2 linked regions of the Mus musculus genome follow. The protein of the gene in region 1 purifies or fractionates together with the protein of each later gene. This does not show direct contact. Links are inferred from orthologs where the notes say so. Each region holds a gene or a part of one and is shown on either strand. Other genes may lie near its edges.

What was found.
Region 2: the proteins of Nudcd3 (region 1) and Klhl9 purify together in Homo sapiens (co-immunoprecipitation; 3 studies listed by BioGRID and IntAct, with this or other methods). This does not show direct contact. The link is inferred for Mus musculus from reciprocal best matches to the Homo sapiens genes NUDCD3 and KLHL9.

What each region holds. Positions count from the first base shown.
Region 1 is NC_000077.6:6,106,416-6,110,229, forward strand, and holds part of Nudcd3 (nudC domain-containing protein 3), read right to left. Parts: intron 1,941-3,814; coding exon 1,830-1,940; 3' UTR 1-1,829.
Region 2 is NC_000070.6:88,719,483-88,723,896, forward strand, and holds the start of Klhl9 (kelch-like protein 9), read right to left. Parts: upstream 3,027-4,414; 5' UTR 2,521-3,026; coding exon 667-2,520; 3' UTR 1-666.

The sequences.
Region 1 (3,814 bases):
GAAAAAAATGCAACACAGAAAATAAAACCATGCTACAGTAATGAAGATGAGTCAACACAGAGAAAAGCATTGTCTTAAATAAAAGGATGCAGGGTTCCGCCACGACATCATTCCTTCTGCAAGACTACCCACAGGATGAGGGCCGAGAGGGAGAAGACTGCAGGTGCACACACACCACGAGACTTCCTTCTTTAGGTGAGACAGCTTCCATGGGACAGGGATGTGCGCAGCCTAGACCTTGATGAAAACTTCAGGAACAAACAGCAAAGTGTCCTGGGGATCTTGTGACTACGACAGATTCTGCTCCTGGACGGTGACCTCTTGAGGGAGATTTCATCAACTTGATGACCAATGTCCAATCACATGTTCAGACTCTGGAGTGGGTATATGGGGTCCACTGCTGTCCCTTGACCACCATCATGGTCTACTCAGGCCCACAGATTAACTCCCAGTATGGACTTTTAGGAAGTAAACCAGAAATCCCTTAAATGCCTACAATGAACCAGCTCCTTTCTACACAATTGTGTAAGTTCCAAAATTTGCTCTTCCAATGGCTCCTTCCAAGCAAGTGGACATAGCACTCGGTGGTGCAGGGCTCTTTCCAGAGAACAGTCTGCCTTGGCTTCAATGGGTCTTAATTCTTGCACTTTGTATGGTTGGTTACCAGAGTATAGAAATTAGTGCTGTGACGTGAACACACACACACACACACCACACAACTAAGAACCAGGCAAATGGAGATGCCAGGCACCAACCAGCACAGAGAGAGTACGTAAAGGGATGGGACACCAGGGTCCTGGTCCTCTGGGCAGGTCTTCACACCCTTAGCTGGCGTCGCCACACAGGCTCTGAGCTCCAAAAAGCAGTCTAGTGATTGGCACAGAGAAATCTTCATTTTCTTGGACTCAATTGTAGTTGCCTTCAAGCTAGTGCATACGTTTTCCTTCCTGAGGCATGCTTCAGGGTCAAAGCTCCTTAGGGAGTGTAGTTGACACGGATCTGCCAATGAACTACCAACAGGCTGTGATCTCTTCTTGGAGGTACCCAGGCTTGAATGCAGCACCCCCAAAGAGGAGGTCTTGAGGGGAAAAAGTAGTGGTGGCTAGTCTCAGCTCATTTCAACAAGAATCAAAGCAAGGCAGCTGCAGTCAGAGGGCAGACAGAATCCTTACCACACCTGGGTGAGAGGCCAGAACCTCAGACTTTCTCCTACCATCTCAAACAGACCCAGTTCCTGCTGCTCTGCCCATAAAACTGAGGCAAGTCAAGTGTATTCACAAAGAAATGAGCAAGATGGCACACACACACACACACACACACACAGAGATAGACACAGATCAACAACAAGTGAGGGAACCCCATAGCAGCCCCACAGCCATGCCCCGCTGGCCCTCATGCAGGTGCCTGGCTCCACACAACAACTTAGCTTTGTCTGAGCCCAGCCACTCCTTATCCCCAATCAGAAGACAAGCAAGCAGAATAGCGTCAAAACAACAGCAAGCAGAGAGAACGGGGAGAAAGGAAATGCTGCCTGCAGTGCCTGGTTGCTGTGGAGACAGAACATGTGCTACCAGTAGGCTGGGACATGTCCCTCCTGCATGTCAAACACCTGCATTCAGTGTTGGCCACAGACACTGCCAAGCAGCAGCTGGCCCTGTACCTTCTCTAGAATAGTCTGAAGGTAGAAGGTCAGCATGGAAGGCCTGGTTCATCATGAAAGAAAAAAATGGCTAGGACTGATCAGGAGAAGTGAGTCCCTGGCATGCAGGGAGTGAGGAGGACAACGTCTCCATCTCCCCAATGGCGAGGGTTTCCTTTACTTCCGGTCATTAAAACTGCACAGCCCCTGGGGAGATGTTGAACATGGCTGGGTCGAATCGCTGGCCTCGGAAGGGAGAGCCTTCAGCATCCCACCCCTTCTTCAGCATCTCATGGACTTTCTACAAACAGAAAATAGAGAGATTAAAGGAGATCACAAGGCATCGCATGCTTTCTCCTAGAACAGACTGCCTGCAGGCACAGACATCCTGCTTCCTCGGGGCTTGTGGACTTGCCTGTTAGGCCGACTGGCCAGAGGACTGCAGGCCAGTTTGTGTCCAAGGGAGGCACCCACTGACTGCCAAGTCCTCTGCAAGACTGTTCTCCCAAGACTGAATTTCTAGCTTTCCAGCTTCAGTCTCTAGTAGAGCCCTGACTGATCTTAGTTCATCTTCGGTTCCTTTCCCAATAGGTCTGTCCAAGTTCCACACAACCCACAGAGCCTACAGTAATCCCCAGGGAGATGATTCAGATATGAAGCGGTGGTGCCCCAGCCCCTTAGGGACATGACTAAGGTGTGTAGAGGTGTTCTAGCACCTCTTCCCCAAGGAAGGAAGTTCTTGTCATTGAAAAATTCATCAGACAATACTGGGATTGACCGAGGATATGATGATACCGAGGAAGGGAGAGACCTCCAAATGTCCAGCTGTGGACCAGTCCGAAACACCTCACTGCTTTTAGGACACAGTAAGAGCTGGTAGACTTATGGCCACTACTGAGCTGTCTAGTCCTTGAAAATCAGAGGCAGATTGGAGTTGTGTGGCTCTAGGCTGTGTCCCTGTGACAGCAGCTGTGCCCGTGCTAATGGGCTAGCCTTCCTCTGAGCATCTGCCTTCCTCAGTTGCTACCATAGACGTACCCAAGAGAAGGAGATCTTCCTTCCTTCCTTCCTTCCTTCCTTCCTTCCTTCCTTCCTTCCTTCCTTCCTTCCTTCCAACCGTAAGAAAGCAAAGACTAACAAGACGAATGGCTGGAGACTGTCCCCCAGTGGAGCACCTGCTGCAGACAGCCCTGCAGAACGGGCACAGAGGACAGGTGCTGCTGCCCTTATCACGAAGATGACAGATTGAAAGCAAAGTGAAAAATTTTGAATGTCAGCAAAGTTACTGGATTCTCAGAACTATGGATTATTAAACAAAATCCAAGCTTCGTGATAAGTGAGTCTTGGCTTGTTTTTAAATCTAAGTGAAGTAGCAACAAGCATATCAAAGAAACTTAGTCCATAGTAGGCCTCCATCTTTGCCCATGAGAAGTGTGAAGCTGTATAGTCTCAAAAGAAAACAAGATGAGACCAGCCAAATAACCTAGGCAGGAGGCTGCTGAGCCTTAGCCAGCTGCAGGGTGAACAAGAACCTAGTGACTGTGTGGGACCCACTATAAAACGGACAATTGAGGGAGTTCAGGATGCCAAGATAAATGCATGGCCCTTTCTCCAGAGCCAAGGCAGAGAGAGATCAGACTACCCTGTGTGCCACCAAACTTACTCATAGGATTTAGTGACATCTATCTGTGCAATGTCTGTCACTGCTTATAAGGGGTAAGTGCTACCAGGCTGGAGGAATCCTAAAAAGACACATCAAAGTACAGACAGAGCAATGACACCTGTGTACGTCCACATAAGCCTTCTAGATGAACACTTAACTGGGGAAAAGATGAAGAGTATTCCATTTGTTGACTTTGGAAAGAAGTGACCTTATGGCAATTAAAGAATTAAAAAACGAAAAAAAAAAAAAAAAAGAGAGAGGTATATTACCACTTCAAGATTAAAATGCTTTAAAATACAAAGCACTGGTGGCATTAGAAGCACAATTTAAAATTCTGGCAGATTTAGAAAACTTCAAGTTTACACCATAAATGGGCATCAATACAGAGCCTGTTGGTAACTGTGACTGCCAATGTGCACAGCAGATGGAGGCTGGCAGAGGAACCTGGCCCCATTTCCATTCTCTTTCTGCTAGTTAGGAGTGGCAATCCTAGAGAAGTGACCTCAGCTACC
Region 2 (4,414 bases), on another chromosome or scaffold:
AATAAAATTAGCTGCTTTCTGGAAGAAAATATAAGGTCATTTTCACAACAGTTGAAGTTTCTATCAAGTCTAAAAGTTTATGTGTGTACACAAATTTTTGAGTGAGCATGAATATCTGACTAGTGTACACACCTATTATTTTTTCTCCAGTGAGAGAACAAATCCTGACCTGTTTCTTCTAGTTAATATTGTTACTATTTCTGTCTACCTAGGAAACTTCAAATATTCTAAGACTAATCACACAGCCTAGACAACAGATTGTCCAAAACTATCCAAGAGGGAGGTAGCTGTACCTTGGCAATCTTTATATTAGGTTAGAACAGGGGACCTCCATTTAATGTTTCAGTCAAATCAAATGTTTTAATTTTTAGTATAACAGACATAATTACACATTTACTAAGATCATCTATAATTTGACACATGTAACACCACAAAAAAAAATCTAATTTTCTATGTATCTTTTTTACTTGTTAAAACAGCTGAATATATTTAATACTTTTCAAAATGCACTTGTATAGCCATTTACTAAACAATATCAAGCCAAACCAAAAAAAAAAAAGGGTCTAAGTTACCTTTTTGTCTATTAACTGTAGCAATAAGGAGAAACAATACAAGGGGATGAACAAGACCACCCATGATACACTGAAAAGGTATTACACCTTGGATCTAAGAATGATCTGAAGGTGCTGAAAGAGGTGATTCTCTAGAAGGTGACCCAGGGTTTTCTTCAGGTGGAAAAACTGTGAGAGTGCAAGCCCGAATGCCACCCAGCGACTCAGGAAGATCAAAAACTTTATGCCACTCGTCTTTTTCTGGGTCATATTTCTGGACAATTTCTACCATGCACCGGTTATTCCAAGAATATCCACCAACAACATAGATTTTGTTTTCAAAGACTGCAACTCCAACATCACTCTGACCTCTCAGCATAGCAGCAATTGGTGTCCACTGGTCAAGAGTTGGCGAATAGTATTCGCAGCTTAGGACATCATCATAATCACTTGTTCCTCTGAAGTGGTTGCCACCGATGACATACAGCTTGTCTCCAACTGTACACATGCAATGCAGACCTCGGACTGTAGTCATAGGAGCCTTCTGTGTCCATTTGTCTGTATCTGGGTCAAAACACATGAGCTCATTTTGGAAAGTGTCATGAGTGATTCCTCCGGAAATATACATTAAACCCCCATATACTGTTCCAGCATGGCCATAGTGGGGTTCACTCATCTTTGCAACGTAGCTCCATTCATTCATTCTTGGGTTGTAACATTCTACTGTGGCCAGTTCACCAGCTGCACTGCGCCCACCAACTGCATATAAATGTCCTTTGAGGGCACTCAGGTGAAAGAATGTGCGCTTTTCGTTTAATGATGCCACCTGCATCCACTTATTATAACGAGGATCAAATCTGAAAACTGTATCAACAGCCGTTTTTCCTTTTGTATCATAATTACTCTGGCCACCAACTACATAAAGGAAATTTCCAATAACAGCAATGCCATGCTGGTATCGAGGAGCATCCATGGGCGCTAACGACTTCCACTCCTGCGCCCTTTCGTCGTACATTCGTAACTCTTTACTGACAACTAGCTGTTGTCTCAAAACTCCTCCTAAGGTAACCAAATGAGTAGAATCAGATCGAATGGCAGTTCTGTCCGACTGCATCACCGGCTGCATATACGGCATCATTTGGTAATTGCTTGCTTCCAAAAGTAAATTCACACAGGTATTGTCTGTTCTCATGAAATCTACTGTCTGCACATAGTTGATGAGATCCTGTGGTGTCATCAGTGGAAAGCGAATATTCTTCATTAATTTTGCGGCATAGTCCATCCGAGGGTCTTCCAGCCTCAGCCAGCGGCAGGCTGCCTTGAAGAGCTCAAGTTCCGAACAGTGCTTGAGACTATTGCTGGAAAGCACAAAGGCAAGCCGTTCAAAGGGGAGTTTCAGAAACTCCCCAGTATTCAACAAGGCAGGAAAGTTCTTCAGGATGAAATTATTTACGTATTTATCCACTTCTATAAGATTGTAGGTGTTAGCAATCCGGCCAACCTCCACACAGTTATCCAAAGAGACGCCTGATATAAGAAATACTTTACAAAAATCCAAAACCGGCAAGATCTGTAGAAAGCTGGCAGCTTCAAGAGTGTCCTGAAGATTGTCCATATTAAGAGACAGTTTTGCAGTATAAATAAAATCAATGATTTTCTTCAGACCAACTTTGTTCACCCCATGAAGCTTGATGCACATCAAATCTTTCTCTTTCATTCCTCCAGTGAACATGGCCTTGAAATAATCACTGGCAGACGCCATCATGGCTCTATGAACCGGGAAGATTTCCTCTCCATCGCCAGGTACCAGCGTCACGTCACAAAGTAGGCCCTCTATTCTGAGCTGATCAAAGCCTTGCAATACAACCGAACTGTGCGTGTTGCTGGTAAAAAACCGCGTAGTTCCAGACTTGCAAGGCTGCAGGTGGGCAGAGACGCCCATGTCGCCGTTACCCAGAGACACCTTCATGGGAGAAGCCGGAGCTCGCTGCGAGCTGCAGGCCGCAGACGTTACAAAGAGAACGCTCTCGGGAAACCCCGGGGCCGCCGAACCAAGGGCAAGCAAGCGGTCGCCGCAGCACCGCTCTGGGCACACCGACGTCCGCCCTGCAGCAACAGCAGCACGCACCTCAAATCTGCCAGGAGAGCGGGTGAGTCATCACCCGGGGCAGTTACGTGACCGCTTCACCTCCTCCGGTCCCGGGCTGTCGTCCTTCGCCGCTGCGCTCAGGGCGGGGGAGGGGCCGTCACGGCCTGCGCACCCCGGCTGCCGCCCTCCAAGGCTCAGCCACCCCAACGAGCTGCGGCCGCGTCCTCTGCGATCCCCGCTGTGTCGTCGCGGCTACGGACTTGGCTTGGAGCAGGGCCTGGAATCCCGACTTGGGCCTAGAACGGCGGCCTAGCACCGAGAGCCAGCCCGACCTTCCGGAAAGGCAGAATCCCAGGATCCCCCGGGCTAGGAGCGGCTGCACAGCTAGTGCGCTTGCGCGGCTGAGCTGGCAAGGGGGCGGTGGATGGGGGCAGGGCGCGGGCGGGACTGGGGGCGGGGTTCCGGCCGGCCAGCGAGGCCGGTGCAGGGTCCATTATGTAAGCTTGTAGGAATGCGCGTGCGTGTGCTTAAGCTTGCTTTTCAAGAGCGCGTTCTTTTCAAGATTTACGCTTAAGGTCTTTGCCAGAGCAGCAACGAAAGGCAACCTTTGTTCAAACACAAGAAGCCTGGCAGAAGAAATCATTGTATCGTTTTATTTATTTATTTTCTTCAAGAACAGTTTTACAGTTTGCGTCACACTCAATTAAAAATGTTGATTGTAAAAGGTTTTTTGTTTGTTTGTTTAACATTTAAGACACATGAGATTTAACTTGCCACTAAATTTTGGTCCTAATGATACATTTTTTTAATATTTGGCAGGAGAGATAATGCCTTCATAAATACGGTTTTCAGGGTTTTGTTTTCCAAACACTATTTTTAACTGGCTACAGTTTTCCAGTAGTTGAGCATGTTATAGTTTACTTTGTCCACTGTTTTCATCAGTGTACAAATGTCCTCCATTATCTTATGGACTCTGTAATAAGCGCAGATGATTTGAACACAAAACGTTATCCTGATTTGGATAATGATAATATTTGGTAGAATATTCAAGTCAATGTTTCCAAAATAGTTACCCTTTGCGTTTCCCTTGTGTTGAACTTTGCTTTTATAAGTATTTTTTATTAACATGCAGTTCTCTAGCTACTGGCAAATTTTAACTTTGATTTGAGAATAAGTATATAATTTGCCGTAGTTCTCTGTTCTCGAAGTTCCAAATCCTTCTAGCGTTTACTTGTATGCAGACTAAGAATATACTTACATTCTTATGCTCCACTTCCTGGCTCTTTTCTAAATGGCATGTATCCTACTGGATTTTTTTTTTCCAGTTCAAGATTTTCCAAAATTGGTATATAGAGAGCTTACTTACAACCTGTTGATGACCCCAAAAAAATGTATGTAATTTACTTAACTATAGGTGATTAATCTTCCTTTATTTCTCCTTCCTTCTTCTCCCGGTGGTTTCCGGCCAATTGCAGCAATCCCGGGAAACTAGTAGAACAACATTCTTTTCCCCAAACTAGTAGAACAACCTGTGGTCGTCGTTCCTTCCCCCCCCCCCCCCCAGGTGCCCTGTTATACCAGAGCTTTGTTGAAATGAGAATGGTCTTGAGAAGTTCTTCCCAGGAGCTAAGTTCTGGGAGGCTGCTTGGTTCAGGAGTTGGGGTAAGCCTTTCCTGAGTGGCTCTGACATGTCACCTGGCTGTGAAGAGGCACTTCCGAGAGATTAATTTCTACCTGTAGGGAAAGAAAGAACAAGATCACTTCCTGAGAAGGT